Linked DNA regions of Drosophila melanogaster. The protein of the gene in region 2 interacts with the protein of the main gene of each other region in a pairwise test. Each region holds a gene or a part of one and is shown on either strand. Other genes may lie near its edges. The genes, in order: CG32548, Lim1, Paris and Mdh1.

Region 1 (7,646 bases), 9.6 Mb from region 2:
CGTCCACCCGTGACCTGACCCAGTAAAATGATTAAGTGACGTTATTTAGCAGCTGGCTGGGCTGGATTTACTTGACTTGCGAGACTTCCACTTCCACTACCACTGCCACATTCATTTCCACTTTTACCAGTTTGTCTCCATTTGTGTTCATCTGCTTTTTGGGTCTCCTTCTTTTTTGCATAATTTGCGCTGTTTATTTTGATGGCTTATGGTGGGGTAATCGTAAAACGACAAGCATTTCATTCGGAAAAGTCAACTTTAATGGAGAAAACACGCCCGGACGGAAACGGAAAGTACGACCCCACATGGATAGATAGGACCCAAGCCCCAAGGAATGCAGCCGGAGTGAAAGGAGAAGTTATGGCCATTACCCCGGGGCACATTAAGTTAGGAACTCGGTTTGGGTCACTTTATTGGGGTAATGCGGGTCAGCAGGCACACAAACACACAGACAGACAGGCAGACAGTCGGGGACAGACAACTTTCAATCGTGTGAAATGCGCTTTCAATTACACGCCGCATAATGAAATGCGCAAATAAATTTATGACGATCACGTATCACGTATACGCAACGGTGGCAGGTAAGCGCGCGCTTAAGTGACCATTACGCACTAACCACCACCAGGTCTTTGCTGCTTTCATAATAATCGTTGCCCTGCCAACGGGCCAAATCTCATTGGGCCATCAAAACTGCATTCCAATTGAGCCGATTTTTCGCTTCTTACTCTGGCCTTAACCCCGCTTCCGTATCTTGGTGGCTAAAGCCATTCGTACACAGCGACAAAAGCCCACTAGTCTTCTCACTTCATCATGCTCTGCGTTTAGAGAACGATGGGTCTGAAGGCGCACTCGTTTTCGCACCGTGTAGCCGGCATTTGCAAGTTTCGCTTTTCGGACATATCGCGCATTCCGGGCACGTTCCTATAAACAACGTTTTATGCCGGTGTTTATGTTTAGTTTGCCGTTCGCCCAGCGGGGGCGGATTGTTATGTAAGTGCCAAAGAGCATATTCAATTTGAATTGGAATTGGAATTGCCATCTACATCTACACCCTCCACTGCACACTCCTCCCCGCCGTTGTTATTGCTTATTCCATATTCCGCAGGCAGACACCAAAGTTTAAAGAAAGTTATCCACGCAAAATGTGAAACAAAACAATGCGGGTGAAAATTAAAATAAAATATATATCGAAATTGAAATTATGGAAAATTATATTAAACGCGACAGGGTAGGGCAGCTTTGTCAAAAAAAAAGAAAAAAACTTGAAGGCACAGCAGTTCAATTGGATTACATTAGATATCTTGGATTTCAGGCAACGATTTCGAATAGAAGCTATAATACTTTCCAACTGCACAGAGAAAATCAAATGACACCTTTTAAAAAATAATCTAATGGATGATTAGATTGAACCTATTATTGAGAAGTTAACTTCGTGAAATATTTCGCTCTAATGATAAACTGAAGTCATTATTCTATAAGTGTTATTAAAATATGATTTTTCAGGTGCTTCATAAACCGAAAATTGAGACTATTATTATCTTCAAATTTGGTTCAACTATTATTTACTTCACTTTATTCACACATTTAAGACGTAAAGAGTACAACATTTTTTGGGCCAAACTTTATGGCCAAAATATGTATGCATGTACGCTGTTTTTGGGGCCAAAAACTGAAGTGGCAGAGGCAGAGAGCCAAGCGTGGACATTCCCCAATCGAAGGCGGTATAAAATCGGTGGACAGTCGGCGGGCGCTGCACAGTCAACCATCGACGTTCGCGAGTCGCGTCCGCTTAGCTGATAACGATCCATAGTCCGATTGCACGGTTGCTCGGACATACTGCCAAATCAACGGGAGACGAAGTCGAGTTCCAATACCAGGCCATCCAGCCATCCAGCCATCAACCATCCATTAGCCTCACCACGTAAATCATGTTCGCATTGGCCTTGACGGTGGCGGCCTTGGTGCTTGCCGGCCAGCAGGAGGTGTGCCGCGCACAGGTCTCCATCCACACGGACGCCAACTCGAACTCCTACAGCCTGAAGACGCCCGGAGTGCAGCAGACCTTCACCCGGTACTACGGAGGAGCGGCCAAGAACCAGCAGGTGGAGCAGCCGCAGCTGCAGCAGCCGCAGGAGCAGGAGCAGTTGGTAAGTACATCACGGCAATGGTGAGGGGTGAATCTACTATTGAAACTCTGGGAAAAGCACATAAAGTTAAACTTGAATTTTAAAATTGCTTAAGAAAACACTGGATAACAATTATACGAGGGAAAAAGTTGCGGACACACTCTTCAATTTAATTTAATATTTAGCCACATGGCGTTGCTTTAGAGTAGTACTATGAATTGGAATTCGAATTGAAATTAACCGCCAAAGTTTTGGATGTTCGATGCTTGTTCGGGTAGAAAGGGCGTTCCATTGAATGTCCCGTCACCATACTCCGAACTTTGTGGGCCCTGCATATTGTTTTCGAAGATCTCCTGCATTTGATCGACGGCGTCCATCACATCAGTGGGCATATTCTGCAGGGAATTTGGGTATCAAGGATATACGATACGAGTACGAAGTATCTTACCTGTGACCAGACGGGCGAAATGCTCCAATGGAGCAGACCTAGACTCAGGATTAAAATAGGCGATGTCATCCTGTGATGGCTTCACTTCCCAATAATTGATTGCCAAGAAGAAAGCCAGCTATTTAACCTGTCACTTTCTAGTTATTCTGCTTAATTACGCGAAAAACAGATATGTTTTCATGTTTACATAATCTAGATGCAACATCTAGCATCTGGTTTAGTTAGCATGCGAGGTTGTTATTGGCAATTAGCTTAGTGGCTTACAGATCTAATTAAACCAGAGATGAAAAAATCTCATTTTTGTTGGTTGGAAAAGCATTTTAAGCCGAATCATTCAGTGCCTAATTGGTTATCATCCGCAGATGTATACCATATTACTTAGTATTGTCATTTTGTAGTATTCAAAAAATAATTATAAATACCCGCTTGGAAATGTACCTAAATCAAAAGCAATCAAGTTGGCTTTCAACGGATGATATTTCCCAAATCAAATGAATGTTTTAAATTCTTTGCTACGCTTTATTTGCTCGAAACGAAAGTAAAACGCCCATTTCAGCGGTTAGAAAATACTTCATTGGGTGAATCGAGATCCGTGGTGTCGGAGAAAAGGTTCTTGAGTTCCTCAAAGTAGTTCTTAAACGAGTCCACCATCGCGTTCCAGGCTTGGGTTATATTTTGTCCAAACTCCCGCGCCGCATCGCCGATCCGCTTGTCCAGCCTTGGATCGTCGGGATAGACCAAATGCGGTCGCACATCGTCGTACTCGTTGGAGTAGTCCAGATCGAACTCGTCGGCCCAAGTTTGGGCCACCAGAGCGAGGGTCAGGGCCACGATTAGTAGGGCAGAGAATCTGGGTCCGGAAATCATTTGGCCAACTGTTGTGCCCAGCCACCTGAATGCGCCTTTTGTACCCAGCCTTTTTAATTCAATCAGATTTCGACCAGACACGGAAATGTTCGAAATGCATGTCGAGATGCATCTCATCTGGCCCGGAAGTGCCCACTGACCGTTGGCTCATCGTGACTCGGCTCGTTTCCGTATCTCCCATCTGGACAGCCTTCAGTAGTCGAGTTGCTGTGGTGACCCCAATGGCCTTCTCCTCGGACCACTTTCGATCGGATTGCTCAGAAATGACAGTTCGCTTTTTGCTTTATTGCCTCTGCCTGAGGAATCTTTATCGATTGGGGGTGACTCTTCGGCGGTGACCTTTTTAAAGAGCAACAAATAAGGTTGAGTTCTTAAAGGTATGCCACTTTAAAATGGTAACCGGATTCCAAGTTTTGGGTCACCTTGGTGATATGTTTAGTTGAGCTCACAAGCATTTGTAGTTTAAAGACGGAGTACACGTTTTTTTTGACTCTAATGCCGTTTGGGGTCACCTTTTACCAAAGGTGATTGGCCTTAATTGGCTACTACATTGATAATATGATGGGGTCTTAAAATGGATGTAATCTATAGTACATATTTGAATGAAGACGTAATCGTAATGTTTTTGGCCAACCCAGAAAACATGCCGCTCAACACAGTTTCCGGTTTTCAGTTGATTTTATTGCACTTATAAACAAACAAAAAAAATACACTCGATGGTGGTCGTCAGGGAGCTCGGTGATTCTACGCCGTGGAGTTGGCCGTTTCGGTGATCTTCTGGCGCACCTGCTGCACCACATCCGCTACGTTGTTCACAAACGAAAGCCACATGGCCTTGATTCTGGTGCCCAGGCCCAAGGGATCCGCTCCGTCCATATTCTGTGTCACTTCCATGCCCTTCTCCTCCTGCCGTCGTCGTCGCACCAACTTCTTGTTCTTTTTGCCAGTGGTCTTGGGACTCACTCGGGATCGGGAGGCATTGTTGGCGGCCCGCTTTTGAGCTCGTCTCCGTCTGGCCTCCACGTCATCGTCGGCGGACGCCGCTGTGGTGGCGGCAGCGCTCATTTTCCAGAAGCAAGGAGCGCGTTTGAGGCGATGCAGGCTCCGCCGCCTTCGCTTCCGACGACGATCCTCCTCGGATGAATCGGTGGCAATGGGACGTATGGCATCTCCATAGCCAACGGCCGTTTTCGAGTGCACGGACATCAGGGGATTGTCAATGTCGACGTCGCGGGAGATGGCGGCGCCACTCTGAACTGCCTCCGCTATATTTCCGGCCAGAGACATGGCGCCCATGCCCAGCGACTCTAGCGGATTCTGTGGACCTGGCCTGGCCGCAATCATGGCCAGACCCGCGACAACCAGGAGAAGTGCCAGCTGATGGCGATTCATCGTTTCTAACTGTAAGGTTGCGGCATTGCATCCGCGCTTTTTAAGCCATCGAATCGCGTGATTCCCTTCGATACATATCGATTTGAATCCACACCATGGCACCGATGGCTAGTAGAGATCACAGTAGGCTTTCGGATTGGCCCGACGACAGCTGTCAGGTGTCACCGGACTGGTTGAGCTATCCAGTCAGTATCACTTGCTCGCTCAGTCGGTTCAGATCGGTTCGTTTTACAATTTTTCCCGCTACAGACTTCGTAAACAAATTGTATCAAAATCTGAATTTGAAAATCAATTTTTGGCTATCCACACTCGAGCTACACAACCTCTCGTCAAAACTTTTAAGTTTACATCGCGACAAACGGAACAACAGGGAATCATGAGATCCAGCAAAGTTCGTGGGGGCAACGCCAGTCGATTGGCTGACGCGGAGGGACAGTGGGGAAAGGGATGCCTGGGTTCCCAGCACTCAATTATCAAGAATCACGGGCGTGGCCTTTCATCCGTGAGTAAAGGAAAGCGTGTTATAAGCTCAATTGTATGAATATTTTACAAAACGAAATCAAAAGTTACACATCGAAAACGGCCTACTACTTGCGCACATTAGACACTCATCTAAATATCATTTAAGCCAGTTCAGAATAAGGATAAAATTGTCCTGGTTTAGCTTCCATTCTCATCCGTTTATTCCTCTAACCTATGCAGCAAACTCCCACGCAATTTGGTGGATTCTCGCCGTCGGGACAGCAGTATCCTGCCGTGTACTCGCAGCCAGGATTCCGGGCCGATGGTAAGCTGAAGGTCACGCCCAACTCGCTGCTCCAGCAGCAGCAACAGCAGCAACAGCAGCAACAGCAGCAACAGCAGCAACAGCAGCAACAGCAGCAACAGCAGCTCCTGGCGCAGCAGCAGCAGCAACTCCTGGCCGCCACATCGCCGCAGGTAGCAGCTGCATCCGGACCAGGAGTGGGCGTTAGCGGTGGCGTGGTCAACATGCCCAGCTATGCGGACCAGATGCACGCCGCCTTCCTCGATTATCAGCGCCAACGAGCCGAGTTCGAGCAGCAGCAGCAGCACCTGCTGCAGAAGCTCTACCACTACTATCCCGATGTATCCGGCGGCCTAACATCACCGGCTCATCAGATTCAACCCCAAACCCCCCAGATAGCTGCTCCCGCCGATGTGGGAGGCGCTCCGGCGGGCGTGGCAGCACAGAACGCAGCTGGCCGCTTCGCCTACCGTCGGCCGCAGTTCAGCAACAATGGCCTGCAGCCCGAGCGCCTTGCATCCGGATCCATTGTGCCCGGAGGTCCAGTAAGAGGAGGTCCAGTTGGAGTCATCCCGGGAGGAGTGATCGGATCAGCGCCTTTGCGCTCCAACAGTCTGGGAGGGGGAGCAAGTGGAGACTTCTACTCCACGCAACAGCACATGGGCTTCATGCAGCAGCAGCAGCAGGACGTGCTCCGTGACCAGCAGCAGTCGGTGGCCCATCAGTTCGCCACCAGCCAGTTGGCGCCCACCACCCGCCAGAGCTATGGGATGGCCGTTCCCATGTCCTCCGTGCTGGGATCCCCCACCTACCAGCAATCGCCGGACGTCTCTCATGTGAGCTTCTCAAGCGGCAATCTCAACTACAGCTTCTAATGATGATGAGCTGTTATTCCAAGGACTTCCAAAACTAGTATTTTCATTTTTTTTTCACACACCTTTTTTTTTGCGTAAATTTTCGTGGTATTTGATAAGAGGAATTGTTTAGGGCAAGCAAGAATAAATTTTGTAAGTGATGATAATTGTTGGTTTTTAGAGGGGTGGATGCATTTCAGGCTTATCAAATGGTGATTATGGCTTACGAAGTTACGAGGGTTAGATTTGCCTGAAGAAGAGTTTGAATGTGCACTTCTGGCCTCGAGTTATGTACTCTAGTTAGTTGCTTAATTAGCCCAAATCCATCCTATATGACCCAACAGCATTTCATTACTAATAAACCATCGGCACGTGCTCCGTGGAATCTAGCTGGTCAGTTAACTGGCCCCACTTACCAGATTCATCATGGCTAATGATGGGTCATTCCTAATCGGCAACGCTCATCTTTAACACGCCGCCGAGCTCACGTGCAATAAATGCATTAATATTGCTTTGAACGGACCGCCTTCGCATTGGCACACAATTGCTGCCATTGAATCTGTTTATAGAGTTAATATAATCCGTCCCATGCCATCGTACATCCCACTGGCGGATCCATTTATCCGAGCAGCCAGTCGCAGTCGCAACGGCGACGGACTTCGATTGTTGGGGTATTATTAGACATCCATGGGAATGGACATCCTCTGCTCGAGTCCACCACCACTTGCACCGCCGAGTGGTGCATCAATGAACGGAGACAATTGCCCTGGTTGGCCGGCGGCTAATTGGGACGAGGATGATGCTGATGGGAACGAGGTCACTGGATGGGTGGTGGGGGTTGGACTCAACTGGCCACAGCGAAGCGCAGTCCAAACATACATGATGAGCCCCGAATCCTTTGAGTGGCCACGTGTGCATCCATTTCAATATCCATATCTGCACTGCGAGAAGCCGTGGATTAACTTAATTGAATACATCTACTATATATGAGTAACTAAAAATAACCAAATTTAATTGGCAAACTGAAGGTTAGACCTGTTAGTTATTTTAAGTCCAAGTTTCAAAGATTTCATACATATATAGTTATGTGGAAGGTTGATAGGGCCTTCCGAGCAGAGACCGTTGTGTCCAAAAGATCGTTGCCTCCAGAAACGACTTCGTTGTCGTCTGTAGGTTGAAGGATTGAACTCCTC
Region 2 (5,523 bases):
GAGCGCGGCTGAATGAGATGACAGATTAGGGATCACAATGTGCTGTGGGTGGATCCCCAGCTTGGCTCTTATCCTCTATTCCTTATACCCAAGACATTCTCCTTTTCCTTGTGTTCTTTTGGGGTCTTGAATGTAAATAACTTGTTGCTTGCCAAAAAGTGTATTATAAATATCTTATTCCTCGAGAGTAGTTATGTAAGTGTTTTTGCTTCAATATCCTTTTTATTCCATTCCTATTATGTCCTCATCCCTTTTGCTCTTACTAAATTTGGGGCAAAGCAGTTTTCAAGGCCGTCAAAGATCAACTGATTTCGATAACTTTTCGATAGCGCAGAACAAGTGAAAAGTGACACGCACACGCAAAAACAAAAAGCAAGCACTTCACAGCTTAACACCCTAATGTGCAATATTTTTGACTACCCCACATCCACGCACACAGCAAACGGCGCTCTTTAACCCACCACAGCCCCCTTATTTTGTGTCGAACATCTTCTTCTTCCTATCGAAGTGTGAGTGAGAGGGAAGACCGTAAGGAGTGAATGAGAGCGGGAGCCTCCTCCCCGACCTTTATAATGCGTTCTCTTTTACTCTCACTTATTTTATGCATTTTTTTTATTTTATCCAGTTTTGTCTTTTCTTGTTGTTTGTTTAGATCTTTGGCATTTTTGCAATTTGAATCCTATATTATTTCTTATGGTTTTTATTGGTTTTTGTATTGGTTTATTTTTACGATAAGTGTCTTGCTATAGATTTATCTAAATCGAAAGCTTATTAAAATTGCATTTGTTAAAGAAAAAGAAAAAGATATAATATTTTGCACAATTTTAAATGTTTTTTTCTACTAATTTTTTGTTACTTGCAATTTATCTAACACTTTTTCTTTGCTTTTTTTTCTTCGCCTCCGTTTTTTTTTCTTGCTGTCTCCAGTGCGTTAAAACGCCAAAGGGGCGTCCCTCTCCAGCTAACGCCCCCACCACCCCCCGCCACTAGTGCTCTCCCTTTCGCACTGCTAACGACAAGTGACAAACACAAGTTGCAGAAGAGGCAGCCGAACAAAAACAACAACTAAAAATAAAAAAGAAGGAAAGAAAAAAGTTTTTGCGACCAACAGTTGACAGTCGAAAAGCATTTGACATTTTACCTTGGCACGCACACAAGCACCGCCAAGTGCGAAAGGGACAAAACGCGGGCAAATGTCACTTTGAAAAATGCCATTGGCCCGGCCAGCGAGTGTGAGCGAGAGGGCGCGACGGCCGGAGAGCGTGAGAGCGAGAGAGCGCCATTTTGCGCATCTCTCAATGAAGCAACAATAAAAAAACCAGTTGCTTAGCAACGCCCCCTCTAACCGCAAAAAAGAGAGCTGGAGAGCAGGAGAGCCAGTGTTGCAACAACAATGGGCAAAATGGAAGGGCAACAACAGCAACAAAAACCAAAAATATCCTTACAGGAACAACGCCAGCACCAATCTTGAGAAAAGGATCAAAAGCCCAAGATCAACAGAAGAATGTGTGTAGAATTTAAAAAAAAAGTGAATTTTTGGATTTTTAAAATCTTATGAATCTAACAAGCATCTAGTAAGGCTAACTAAATATTTAGTTATCATGCTAAATATATCAAAATTTTCAAAGAACTTATATTGTGTATTATCGAACAATCACCTAAATTAAATCCTAAAAAAGGAAAAAAAATTAAGATTTCTTGATATTTTTTTCCAATTGTTATGAAATTGTATATCCTTTTCCAAAATATTTTTAATAATAATCTAGATATGCATACCAAATATTCTAGTCATATTTTTTCCATTTTTTTAGAAAACGTTTTGAAAAACAATTTTTTTATTTAAGAATAATATGATTTCTTCATGCCCAACACGAGAGAGCCAGGAGAAGCGACGGAAGCGAGAGCGAGAGAGCCTGCGACTCCATTGCAGCGCCGCCAGCAGCGCAGTCGGCGTCGCAGCAGCCCCAGCTCAACATTCGCTGCATCTCGCTCTGGCGCAGGCGAAATATGCGAGCACTGCTTGCCGCATTCGGTAGCACGAGTGCGAGCGATGCGCCTGCTAGCATCTCGCTCGCACCCAGGCGCGCCATTCGTCGCCGCTTCGGCTCGCCGTTCGTGTGTGTGCGTGTGCGCTCGGCTGGCAGCTATCGGTAATCGGGCCGTCCGCTTTGCCGTCGCGTTTGCCGTTTTCCGTTTTCAGTTTTTGTTTGACGTTCGCGTGAAGCGCCCGCAAAACGCAAAGCGCACGAGGCAACGCTCGAAAAAGGAGCCAACGCAGCCGTTTACCGTTAGTCAGCTGTTTACCGTTCCGCCGCGAGATCGAAAACCGAGAATTTTTGCCGTTGTTCAAATTTTTTTGCAAGTGAGAATCTTGAACAACAAGAAGAATATACAACACATAAATACAACAAAACCAAGGAATCGCCGAAAAGCCGATAGTGCAAAGTGTTTAAAAAGAAAAGAATCAATTTCATATACAACAACTAAAGAAATACTGGAATATAAGGCATAATAGAAGCGGAGGAAGTTTCTTCAACTCAAAGAGGAGCGGAATTTCGCGCTTTGTTTTTGTTTTGCCAAATTTGCCGCCGGCACACACGTGCTATCCCCCTCTTGCTCGCACCTTGCCACCCAGTCTTTATGTGCGTTAACCGTTAAGTGTGCAGTTGGGGCCCGCTCCTATCTTTCTCTCCCTCTCTCTCTCGCTTCCGCACCCGCACACACACACATATATCCACACCCACGCGCGCCTCGTTCACATACGCACACACACGCGGGACTTAACCCATTGACGGCCCCCCCAAAAAAGCAGTCACTCTTAACCCCCCCGAAAAAAAGAAAAACTCCATCCCCCCGGCATCAAGATATTCGACAACAAAATTCTCACCGAGGCCTCAAAAGCGCCCCTGAGGGCCGTCGCACTGGCGTCATATCTGGGCGACGGGTTCGCCGCCCTCGGTAGCCGCGCCCCCCCGCCCAAGGACCATCTGATGGCGTTCGGGGCGGTACTACACACCAGCCAGCACAATATCGGTAAGTGATCGTTTTGGGGAATTTAGGCATTAAGCGGTTAAGGGTCCAGGAAAACATAGAAAATCTGGGGGGTTTGCAGTGAGAATCCCAAACAGGCAAGTTCTTAAGGTTAGTCACATATAGGATACTGCAATCGAAATCATTTCATCCAAGAATCAGCACTAAATCTTTGAGTTGTGCTTGTAGTTCTATAGAATAATATCATTGGGAAGTCAAGGATGAAACATTTTACAGATCGAAAATAGAAGTTGTTTACATCTAATCTAGATTAAGTAATATTCATGATGTCCTCTATCGAAATAGAATGAAAACACCTGTTTGTAGGCTTCGTATAATATTTAAATTGTTTATAAAATCTGTAGACGAGTGATCAATGACACCAATGACACATTTCAAAAATACTTTTAAAAGATGGCAAAGAAGTGAATTTTCGAAAAATGTACTGACAAAAAAGTGGAATCTATTAAAAATGGCTTGATCGCTATGCCGACGGGATGTGGTCTTAGATTTTCAACTGGTGGTAGAAAGACATAAGAAAAGTAGGGTCGAGTGCGGTCGAAAGTCCTTAAAAGGAAGTCAACCCCTTGAAGGATCGGCGAAATGCGATCCCTAGGATGGTGGGTTAATACAATACCGCTTGCCCGCAATGGGTTAAGATGGCCAAGGAGTTTTTAATGGCGACGGCTGGGCAGCAGCAAAGTTTTTGCACTTTTGAACTTGCTTCCCGTTTTTAGGGGACCGCCGGCGAGGAGGAGAGGGGCGTCTAATGCCCCGTCGTCCATCTGCCGTCTCTTTTTCGCATTACCATTTTGTATGCTTTTGAAGTTCTTGTTCATCTGTTTTTGTTTCGGTTTTGTTTTTCCTCCTCTTGTTTTCCCGTTCGTTTTTGGACTGAAAAACTTTTGCGCAGTTGTCAAAGTTTTTCAGCTTCTTCTTCTGCCGTTCTTCCTCTACCCCATCTCATTTTTTTTGGCTTTTGTTTTATTTCATTTGCTCTCTGTCAAATTTTCACTTTTGCTGACTGTTTAATGTCAGGAACAAAAAAAAAAAAAAAAAAAAAAAATAGTAAAAAGGGAGCAAAAAGTTCAGAAATGAAGGCTCCCCTCTAGTTTTGTATTTTGTGATTAGTTGGTGAGGAATATTTCGTTTATATGTATGTATGTAGCTCCCCATCAATTTGAATAACTATAAAAAACATTTATAAACTACAAAATTAAGGATCTGCAGAGATTTAGAGACCGAACACTCTTTTCGAGTATATTTTGGATTCTTATCAAAAGAAATGAAATGAGAAATGATTTAAGTACATATTAGTAAAAATGTAGTAAGGTATTTTATACCACAAAAAATTTTTCAAAAATATTCTAAAATCCTCAATAGCTTCGTTTTCGAACCAGTGAGGTTCGATGGAAATTGCAACTGCAAATTCTCCATTTAACTTGTTGACATTGGACATACAGCGGCCGACACCTTACTTCCCCCATAAATTGGCTAGAGAACTGTTGGGGTTTTTGGGCTTGGGGCCTGCAGCTCCGGGGGCGGTTCAAGTCAAAAGCTGTCGACATTTGACTGGAAAATGGATGTTCAGGAAGCCGTAGACCCGCACAGTGGGCCACCTTACGACGGCGGACTGATGCCAAGTGGAGTCGTAAAGCTGCCAAGCTTTCTTCTTCCTGCTTCTACTGTTTCTCGGTTGGATTTTTTTGTTTTTGTTTTATTTCTCGCTCATAGACATACCCATTAGCTAATGACTAAGTGTTGGCAGTTATGAACTTAACTTGCATTTAGTTGGGGAAAACTACAAAGTAAAGTACCACTGAATATAACTCGGCTTAATGAAGATAACTTTTCCGCGCAGTAGCTGTATCTTTTTTCGAAAGTTCGTAAAGTAATTTGGAATCAGGAAAGATATCCAATTTTTTATGGTATAGTTAAGGTTTTGAAATGAGATGGAAAAAATGTATTGGAAATACTTAAGATAGGATACCAATTTAGGTCGTTGAATCTTTGGTAATGTGTTTATTCTTAAGGAATTTAGTTTTCAAAACTTCAATAGAATAGGGTAACCCCTCGTCGTTCAATTACCAATATCATCGGCCATTTCTCTGGTCGACTGCTCATTTTTCTTCGCATATATCTTGGTGGCAGCATCTTTTCAATTTTTATGTTGCTGCTAGCGAACACGGCAGCAACATGCAGCAACAGCAACGTGCAGCAACAGCAACGTGCAACAGCAGCAACGTGCAACAGCAGCAGCAGCAGCAACAAAAGCTCAGACCGGCAACGCCTTCGACAAAAGTTTGCGCTGCTGTTCATCAACATTTATGACTGGCCACAAAGGAAGATCATTACGATCCCGAAGATTACGATTATGGGGTGTAGTAGGCTCATGCATACATATGTATATACTCGAATGTATGCAGGCAGGATGGGATCGTGGGGTCTGTGGCTCCTCTGTTTCTGTGCAACATTATTTCCGTGGAAGCTTTT
Region 3 (4,422 bases), on a different chromosome or scaffold from region 2:
ACCATCTCTATTCGACTGTGCCAGCGGAACGACGACTCCGATCACGGAGGAGAACAACGTGCTGTACGCCATTGAGCGCTCTGAAAGTTGCCATTCCCAGGGCACGCCGACGGTGAAAAAACCCATTCCCATTCGCGGAAAGGCGGCGCTGGGAATCGGGCTGGACAAGCACAGGGAGAGAGCCACGTTCCTCGAGAAGCTGCAACGGGCCGCTGTCTCTCCTGGCACAGTTTCGCAGGGTCCAGCGCCCGTTTTCTCAGCCCGCTGCGGGCAGTGCAATTTAGAATTTGACTCAGTCTCCGAACTGGAGGTGCACAACCACAATGCCCACAGGGGCAATGAACTGAACGCCGACGACGAAGCCAAAAGGCGTCAAATAATCGCCCTCTTCGAGGATGATATTTAGGTTTTACAAAGTCCTGTTTTTCATGCCGGTGGCTCAATCAAACTAGTAATCATGTTGACCACTTTGCATCTGTGTTTTTGTCGTATTGTATTTATTTATTATTTATTTATTTTATTCTGTTTCCATTAGTGATTTAGTTTTGCTTAGCGGCAATCCATGTTCATTTACAATACATTCTCGAGTACTCAAAAGTCCGTGGCTTTATATTTATATGTACTCTAAGACCAATAAAGAGATTTGCAAGACTTATTCTTAACCATAAGCCTATGCGTATATTTGCAAGCTATTCAGTACCAGGTTGGAATCTGCTACCTTCAAGTGCAGACAGTTCTTGAGCAAGCGCATCGCGTCCAGGTTGAGATCTGGATCTCGCAGAGCGAAGAGCTGGTTTAGGGTTTGCACAAGATTCTGCGGGTCTGCCAGTGCGAATATTAGACTTGTGTCACCTAGGGCTACCAGATTGGTCATTACACGCACGGCGTAGATTAGGCACAGCCGGTCGGCTGGCGATGCTAAGGTGGCTTCAAAGAAACGCACCAGGCATTCGGCCTGTTGAGCATCTAACTTGTGCTCCTGTGTCACTATTTCCAGTTGGTGCACTATGTACATGAAGTACTCGCTGGCAGGCTGGCCGTGGAGCTTCTCAGGCAGATTCTGGCCAATGTACCTTCGATCCTCGTCACTCACATGCTGCGGGCAGCGGGTGGCCACCAGGGAGAGGCAGATGGCCGCATCTTCTTGGCAGCCATTGGGCTCGATGTAGAGCCTCCACAGCTTGGGTACTATTTGCATTTGCAGCAATACGCTGCCGGCCTTGTCGCATGTGCCCAGAACGTTGGCCAGTGTCCACAGGCAACTGCGCTTGAGGCGTTCGGCCTTGCCATCAAGGTAGGTGACCATGTAGCTGCCCGCCAAAGTGACAATCTTTTCGGAGACATGGGCCTCGCCCAAGGAAAGATTACACAAGCACTCCACGGCATCTGTCTGTCGTTGAATGTGAGGTCCTGAAAGTCAAGTCAACCTTTTTATATAAAACTAAAGCTAATGAGGGTGCAGTTGGTTACCAGTTAGCTCCTTAACCAGAACCTGAATGGCGCCAGGAATAGCTGCGAATGCATTGATGTTGTCATTGCTCTGGAGGAACCCCAGCGACAAGCGGCACAGATCCTCGGAGGTGGCGTGCTTGCGACGCTTGATCCTGCTGGCCATTCCAATGACGTCCTTGGTGCCCATCTCAAGAGCCGCCACTTCCTGCTTAACCTGTCCAAGTCCAATGCGCAATGAGTCTTTCGCCTTTATGCGGCACTCAACACGGTGATCCTTGGCATATGCACGAATCTTGTTTCGCAGAAAACTTCCCTCCCCAGTTGTCGTCACAAAGTCCATTTGTTTAAATTTCATGGAATCCTTAGCAAGTGAGCAATATTCCGATAATAATAACAGATTATCGATAACTATGAAAGGTTAACAGCACTTCACTCATCAGCTGTTAAAATTGTAAACAAAAAAGGTACGCACTTGTTTGTTTATATTTTATTTGGAGTAAGTAATGCTTATTTAATTTCAGGTCAATGGTGGTAATCTGAGCCCGGAATCGATGGATAAACATATTCAGTGGCACCCAGGAACCCGATTTTTCATATGTGAATTTATTTTTATACTGGCAAAGAAGTTCGGCGAGGAGATTCATTTCCTTTTTGTGCCTTTTTAATTTAATTTTTCTATGATTTCCACGGAAAAAGTCCAGTGCTCCTTCTGTCCAAAATTATTCACCACTAGCTAGGCGAAAATGTGAAAAAACTATACGAAGATAAATGTTTGTTTTTCCAAAGAAATTTATTTCAATTTTATATTCTTCAACAGGTAAAGGATATCGATATCCGATAAGAATTTTCCCATCAAAACTTGGGCTGACCACCACAGGGCGACCCTTGCAAGTTTGCGTTTATCTCAGCTGTTAAATATGGTAAACACACCTTAGTTTCAAAAATCATCATTTTGATAAATAATTTGAATTTCGAACATCGATAATAAATCGATTTAGCATATGGCCCAGAGAATAGGGTGCCCAGTGTACTGTGCACAATGTGAAGTTTAGCTTATTATTATTTTGAATTGTTCATCAAGGCAATCGCATTAATTTTCAATTAATTGGGATGTATGAAACGGATTCCTAAATTATAAAAGATTGCTTTTCCAGCTATAAGCTATTTAGTATATACATCAGGTAAGTAATATAGTCCTTCATAAAGTTCAGCCTAATAAGTATTGTTTATTACAGGGATAATGGCGGAAATATGCCGAGTTTGTATGGATATTTCTGGTAAACTCGTTAACATATTTGACGCCAGACGAAGAACCAGAGTTTCCATTGCCGAGATGATCGCGCAGTGCACCGGATTCGAGGTCAAACGTGGCGATTTGTTTTCGGAAATGATATGCCCACAGTGCTATGAGGACGTAAAGAGCGCGTATGGGATAAGGCAAACTTGTGAGGAAAGCCACCAGTTCTACTGCCGAGTTCGCGATGAAGGCATCGAGGATGCTTTATGCGCCTTGCTCGAAGAAGAAGACTGGGAGATTTCGGAAGACGAAGATGCGCGGATTGATTCTGCATCCGCTGCTGATGACGATGGGAAAAGCGACAGCAAGAAGGTAGCATTCGAATGTCGAGAATGCCACAAGAAATACCAGCGAAAGGGAACTTTTCTGAGGCACATGCGAACACACATGGACGGACAATCCTTCCCATGCCCCTACTGCAAGCGGAACTTTAGACTTAGAGTCACTCTCAAGGCGCACATGAAGACCCACAATGCAGCGAAACCCTACGAGTGTTCCCACTGCGCCAAGACCTTTGCGCAGCAGTCCACTCTGCAGTCGCATGAGCGAACTCACACTGGCGAACGACCATTCAAGTGTTCACAGTGCTCAAAAACCTTTATTAAATCATCCGATCTCCGGCGTCACATCCGCACACATGGCAGCGAGAGACCGTTCAAGTGCTCCAAGTGCACGAAAACATTTACGAGGAAGTTTCACCTTGATAACCATTTCCGTTCTCACACTGGTGAACGACCATTCAAGTGTTCCCACTGCCCCAAGGCCTTCGCTATGAAGCAGCACCTCAAGCAGCACAGCCGCCTGCACTTACCAGATCGTCCATTTCGCTGCTCCCACTGTCCCAAGACTTTTCGGCTGAGCAGCACTCTCAAGGAGCACAAGCTCGTACACAACGCTGAAAGAACATTTAAGTGTCCTCACTGTGCCAGTTTCTATAAGCAGAGAAAAACACTTGCTAGACATATCCTCGAGATACACAAGTGACCACTACTTTAAAAACACTTGGAAGACATATCTTCCATGTGCACTACTTTAAAATGGACAAAAATGATTTTGCTAGATGATAAAATAAGCTAACATATTCATAGGTATTGTAAGAATAAGGCATAAAATTGGTTGGTAATGAATATGCCTATTTTGATATGTTTTATGATGGAATAAAATGTTATTTATATTTGATTGAACCAAAACAAAATTAATTAATCGACTCCCTCTCACGCTGCCAACACTGGCCATTTCTCGCATATCCAACTACAGATGATGATCAGCTGTTTGTTGTTTATGTGGGAGCGGCCTGAGAAATTGTAACAAAAAAATTTCGGAAAAGCTGAAAAAATGAACAATGATAATCCGAATATAGTTTTCAATCCCCTGATAAGCTCCATCCAAAAAGTAGTGCTCTATGAGACACGAGCGGTAAGAAATCACCTCCAGCTGACCTTTTTTTGACTAATCACATATATCGCCATAATTTCAGCGCCTCTATTTGGTGGGCAGCAACAATCGGGAGACTCGGTTTCGCCTCCTGACCATAGACCGACTTGCCCACAACCGGCTGAGTATCGAGGAGAATGCCAACGAGTTTAACAGCCTGGAGATCCGACGTTTTGTCGCTTCCCTTTCGGGTTCGCCCAAGGTGACGTCCGCTTATGGCGTCCTTGGATTTGTGCGCT
Region 4 (5,464 bases), on a different chromosome or scaffold from region 2:
CCTTTCGGCATGCCGGACACAGCTTGTTCTCATCCGTGCGGATCCTATGCCAACAGAATCGGCAAATCTGGAAGCAATAGCACTTGAATACGCTGCTGATAAGGGTGCTTTAATGACAGTATGTACCTGATATCCGCAGGTACACGGAAAGAAGGTCAGATCGTCCACCTCAAGCGGCTCCATACACAAAGGGCACTCGACTGCATCATCATTGCTGCTCAGGCCGTTCATTTTCAGGTGATTTGTTGATTAGTGATGAAGTACTCGCAGTTGTAATTTTTATAAAATTGTTGATAATGATGAGAACCAAGCTGTAGAAAGTAAATAAAATTTATATGTATAAATAATATATATATATATATATATTTGATTAGGATGAAGTTTTGTGTGTAGATTCTTAAATCTCAAGGATAGCTTTTGTAGGATGGATTTTCATCAGATTGGTATGAACCTGCATTGAAATAAGAAGAATATTCCCTTGTCTTGTACTTCTAAACTATGCATATATGATTTTGTCTACCTAAAACACCTAAAAAAAAGGAAGGCATGCGATCTTTATTAGATGAATCACCCCGTTATTTTGCACACTACGAAAAACAAGTTGTGGACATTTGGCACCTGTAGCTGACCACTTTAGTTAATATCCATATTTAACACTTTTTTTGATAGTTGCGATTTGTGCAAAATTGTTTACATACTGCCCATTGTATTCGTGGTATTGTTGACTTTATGCAACCTTTGAAAAAAGACAATTTAATGCGACCCGAAGAAGGTGTTTGCCGTCAGGTAATTTTATTGTGTATATACACACACACGCATATGCCTACAACGCAGACAAACAAACACAAAAAGTATTTTTAAATATGGATACCTTTTCATAACAAAAATCAAACCAGCTCGGAAATATACGCACTACCTGCGTACATCAATAAGTTCTCAAATTTAAAACGGAAGCTCTCTTTAAAACACAATCAAAAAGAAAGTACAATTTTCAAGAGTTTAATAACCGAACATGTGTGTGAGTATGGCGACATGCAAATACGTGTGGGTATTAAGCAAAATTACTAGAATTTGCATCGATATTTGCGTATGCATTGTAAAAGCACTTAATATGTGTACATCAGCAATTTGTTAATCCACTATATACGCACACATATGCGAGTGTTTATGTACATAAGCGTACATTGTTCACGCTGCACTTATTTACCAAACCACAGCTGTGATTTATTGTTTATTAATTATGGCAAATCACGAACTCGTATAAAAGGGTAACGAAAATCGATTTTTAGACAATAACAAAAGGCTGGTTGGAAAGGAAAACGGCAAATGTTTAATGTACATAAGCAAGAGTATATATACATACACATATGTATGTACACGTAACACGTATGATTGTAGGTGTGATGTAGGTTTTCTTTATTCACTCTGAATAGCTGATGAAACGACGTTGCAATGGTTAATTGTGTTTTTGAACGCTTTTTAATTTTTATAAATACTTGGTAGCAAACGTATCAAACGAAAGTACTAAGGCTAAAAATAAACGCAAAGTAAACGAATGGATTCGCCAAATTAAAGACTCCAATTTTTTCCACAAGAAACATTCGATTTTTTTCCACAGCTCAAACTATCGATAATAGCAAGCGAAAAAATCACTTCACACGACTGCATTTGCGTATTTCAGATATGAAAATATAGCTAGGTACTAATTTTGTATGTGTAAACAAAGTGACCAAGAATAATGCAAAGAAATATGATATTTGATGCTTTTTCTGCAAAATTTTGTTGTTTACATTAACTAATTTAATAACTATATTTCTATTAATTTTTCATTTATCATCGTTTTATTTATTTATATATGTATTTACTTTTTTTTGGCAACTGTAAATATTAATAACAATAAGAGAACTCCTTAACTCTTTGTATTATTTAAAAATTTAGTAAATTTGTAAGGAGCAACATAATCGATTATTTTGCCAAAAACATATTGCGTTGGAGTCACGGCTACTTTTATTCAAAAAGTAGTGACTGGAAAATAATTGTGAAAAGTAACAGGTTCCCAATTGGCGATCCCTATTTACGTTTTTACTTGAAGTTCGTCCGTGGAGCGTTGCACCTGTGAAATTCTAAAATGGTAAGCTTGCCGGCGATTTCTCGCTACGCTCGTATAGTATATATCATCAAATTATTATTAATAATCTGCATATTTGATTATCAAATGTGAAGAATATGCATACATATGCATTCAAAGTGCCGTACACAATAATGTGTAGTTATGACGGTATGTGTGATTGGTCGCAATAATTTTTCTGGAAATTTAACATTCATTTGACCTCTCTTCATGCTAATCTTAAAAACCAAAAACCTTAGTGACGTCAATTCGAACGTATGCACAAATGTTGCATTTTCAGAGGCCCCCAAAAGCATGAATTTATTGCAAATGCGAGCTAATTGCCAATTGACGGCGATAAAAATGTTGTTTTCATGTTTTAATAGCTCTTGCCGGAGCAGATAGAGCTTATATAAACCGGATGATTGGAGGCGGTGAAGCAAAGTCCATGCAGTTCAAATCTGTCATATCTTATCAAAAATGCTAAATGCTCCCAGGGGTTACGCTTCCAATTGTTTGGAAGTTAAAAACTTCTTCAATGACAAATATATAATATAAAAATATAATATATGTTATGTTTAGTAATTCCCGTCTTTAGCTACATTTTACTGGAAACTATGCCCTGTGACTTTTCTTTAGGGCAAAACATAAATAGGGGTCAATTGCCACAAGTGGCCTACTTTTAGTGCCCTTAGGAAAGGATTAACTGGGATTGCGTAACGAGGATGGGCGGAAAATGCACTAGCAAGCAAAAATCAAAGCACATCACTTATAAAATGTTTTATTAAATCTATAACTATTGAAAATGCCAGCTCAGAGATAAATGGAGAGGAAATTTAAGAGTTCTAGCTAAAGTATAAAGTATAAAGTAAATTCGTTATCTATCGTAAACAACAAATGCAAGCTGATAAAGACACACTTCAAAACAGTAACAAAAAACCTGGTCACGCATTTGTTTATTTTCAGCTATCATATTTGCATTAATTTTGCTGAAATTGCACTTAAATGGGTTTTAATTCGGAAATGGCGAGCTGGATATATACGAAGTATTTTGTGTAGTTAGCAGTTTTCGCATATATTTCCTCGCCGCTAAGCGTCTAAAAATAAAATATAGATCCAAAGCCAAAGGCTGGATGAAAAATTCGCCCCTTATTACAGTATAATTAGTTTAGCTGCATCTAAACATAGCTAAGAACATTCTTGAAATAAAATACGGAAAATGCATAAAGAAATGGAAAAAGGAAGATGAAATACACTTAAAGGAATGTTCCTAATCGAGTGAATATATTTTCAGGCTGAACCAATTCGTGTTGTGGTGACCGGAGCCGCTGGCCAAATCGCCTACTCCCTGCTGTACATGATTGCCCGCGGCGAGGTGTTCGGCAAGGATCAGCCCATCGTGCTGCACCTGCTCGACATTCCGCCCATGGTTGGTGTGCTCGAGGGCGTGGTCATGGAATTGGCCGACTGCGCTCTGCCGCTGCTGGTCGAGGTGGTGCCCACCACCGACCCGGCTGTTGGATTCAAGGATGTCTCGGCCGCTTTCCTCGTGGGCGCCATGCCCCGCAAGGAGGGAATGGAGCGAAAGGATCTGCTGTCCGCCAACGTGAAGATCTTCAGGACCCAGGGCCAGGCTCTGGACAAGTTCGCCAAGAAGGACGTCAAGGTGCTGGTTGTGGGCAACCCGGCCAATACCAATGCCCTGGTCTGCTCCTCCTATGCGCCTTCCATTCCGCGCGAAAATTTCTCGGCTATGACTCGCCTGGATCAGAATCGCGCCACATCCCAGATCGCCGCCAAATTGGGTGTGCCAATTTCTGCTGTTAAGAACATCATTATTTGGGGCAACCACTCCTCCACCCAGTATCCCGATGCTGGACAGGCCAAGGTGACCGCCAATGGTACCGTTAAGTCCGTGGTGGATGCGATCAACGATAATGGCTACCTGCAGGGATCCTTCGTGGAAACCGTTCAGAAGCGTGGAGCCGCTGTCATTGCGGCCCGCAAAATGTCATCGGCCATGTCGGCGGCGAAGGCCGCTTGCGATCACATGCACGACTGGTGGAACGGCACTGCTCCCGGCCAGTTCGTCTCCATGGGTGTCTTCTCCGACGGCAGCTACGATTCGCCCAAGGATGTGATCTTCTCGTTCCCCGTCGAGATCAAGAATAAGCAATGGAAAATCGTCTCTGGCCTGACCCTCAGCGATTTCGCTAAGACAAAGTTAAGCGTTACCGGCAAGGAGCTGCAGGAGGAGAAGGACGAGGCTCTGTCCGTGCTGGACTCGAATGTGTCCAACTTGTAATGCGATCCTTAAACGTTAATTACTAACATCATAGTTGTGCATTTAGGAACAAAGTTCATGGCAATAAAAGTTTTGTAAATAGCTCTGAAATGGTTTTGTTTTGTGCAAGTTAATTGTTGCTAGCGATTTGAACTATAAGATTAAAGGCTTAATGGCTGATAAACTAAATAATAGACCGTTGAGTTTATAGTTGTTGTGATTTCATATTTTATCTACCAGTTTGATCAGTATTTTTACATGTATATTTGGAAGGCTACGTGTATAATACACATGTCAAATACACAAATGTAAAATTCCTTGGTGGTCTGTGATTAATAATTAGAGTTCAAATCAAATCTTAATGAGGTAAGCCATTGCGACAGTCTGATAACTTATCATTGATAACTATTCGGGTAACGTAAAATTTGGGCAAGTCACAATTGTTTGACCGTTTTTGAGTTATAATCTCAAACGTTTATAGATCTACGAAAGACAGACGGACATTTAAAAAACTGAAATTATACAAATTACTTATAGTTTTTAAGCCCACAACTGACAACTATCTACTCAAATCAGCAGTGGATCCCCGAACTAAAGATCCTTAATATCAGATTGAAACCTCTGGCAGCAAAAACCAATAAATCGACAGCTTAACCATGTATTATTAGGTATAAACATTATATTATACCATTTATTCATAACGAAATCAATGAAGTCAAGAAGTCTAAAGATTGTACAGGTAAATTGTTTCAATGAAGTACGTAAGCGGTGTAAAACACATACGAAAGCTAAGAAATGATCGGTAAAAGTTCGACTGAAAACCATCGAGAAAGTTTTATGCATTATATAAGAATTCAGTGGCTTAACGATTCTGCTGCGTTGTCACTGTTAAATAAAACACACATTCGGGGAAATCAAATTGGCTTCACTCTGCAATTTCAGTTAAGATTATAATGGCATCACTCGCTTAATTCCGATTGCCCTACCCTAGCGCGAAATTATGTATATAATTAATTAAATGATACAACACGTGAACGTGTCTCTTTGAAGCCTTAAGATACTACAACAATTAC

The links.
Region 1: the proteins of Lim1 (region 2) and CG32548 interact in a two-hybrid assay, tested with the Drosophila melanogaster proteins (one large-scale study listed by BioGRID).
Region 3: the proteins of Lim1 (region 2) and Paris interact in a two-hybrid assay, tested with the Drosophila melanogaster proteins (one large-scale study listed by BioGRID).
Region 4: the proteins of Lim1 (region 2) and Mdh1 interact in a two-hybrid assay, tested with the Drosophila melanogaster proteins (one large-scale study listed by BioGRID).

What each region holds. Positions count from the first base shown.
Region 1 is NC_004354.4:18,434,691-18,442,336, reverse strand, and holds CG32548 (uncharacterized protein), read left to right. Parts: upstream 1-1,755; 5' UTR 1,756-1,928; coding exon 1,929-2,147; intron 2,148-2,260; exon of another isoform or gene 2,261-2,362; coding exon of another isoform or gene 2,363-2,521; intron 2,522-2,574; coding exon of another isoform or gene 2,575-2,643; exon of another isoform or gene 2,644-2,670; intron 2,671-3,076; exon of another isoform or gene 3,077-3,126; coding exon of another isoform or gene 3,127-3,441; exon of another isoform or gene 3,442-3,469; intron 3,470-4,103; exon of another isoform or gene 4,104-4,185; coding exon of another isoform or gene 4,186-4,833; exon of another isoform or gene 4,834-4,847; intron 4,848-5,036; exon of another isoform or gene 5,037-5,209; coding exon of another isoform or gene 5,210-5,335; intron 5,336-5,535; coding exon 5,536-6,474; 3' UTR 6,475-6,618; downstream 6,619-7,646. Other genes in the region: CG43841 (uncharacterized protein), read right to left, coding at 2,363-2,521, 2,575-2,643; CG32551 (uncharacterized protein), read right to left, coding at 3,127-3,441; CG6290 (uncharacterized protein), read right to left, coding at 4,186-4,833.
Region 2 is NC_004354.4:8,802,474-8,807,996, reverse strand, and holds the start of Lim1 (LIM homeobox 1), read left to right. Parts: upstream 1-2,192; 5' UTR 2,193-2,990; coding exon 2,991-3,033; intron 3,034-5,523.
Region 3 is NT_033779.5:4,461,154-4,465,575, forward strand, and holds Paris (parkin interacting substrate), read left to right. Parts: upstream 1-2,457; 5' UTR 2,458-2,633; intron 2,634-2,687; 5' UTR 2,688-2,692; coding exon 2,693-3,733; 3' UTR 3,734-3,922; downstream 3,923-4,422. Other genes in the region: CG15435 (uncharacterized protein), read left to right, coding at 1-406; CG15443 (uncharacterized protein), read right to left, coding at 671-1,410, 1,471-1,807; FIG4 phosphoinositide 5-phosphatase, read left to right, coding at 4,085-4,165, 4,227-4,422.
Region 4 is NT_033779.5:10,392,882-10,398,345, reverse strand, and holds Mdh1 (malate dehydrogenase 1), read left to right. Parts: upstream 1-2,013; 5' UTR 2,014-2,128; coding exon 2,129-2,131; intron 2,132-3,401; coding exon 3,402-4,412; 3' UTR 4,413-4,572; downstream 4,573-5,464. Other genes in the region: Cnot4 (CCR4-NOT transcription complex subunit 4), read right to left, coding at 1-67, 127-231.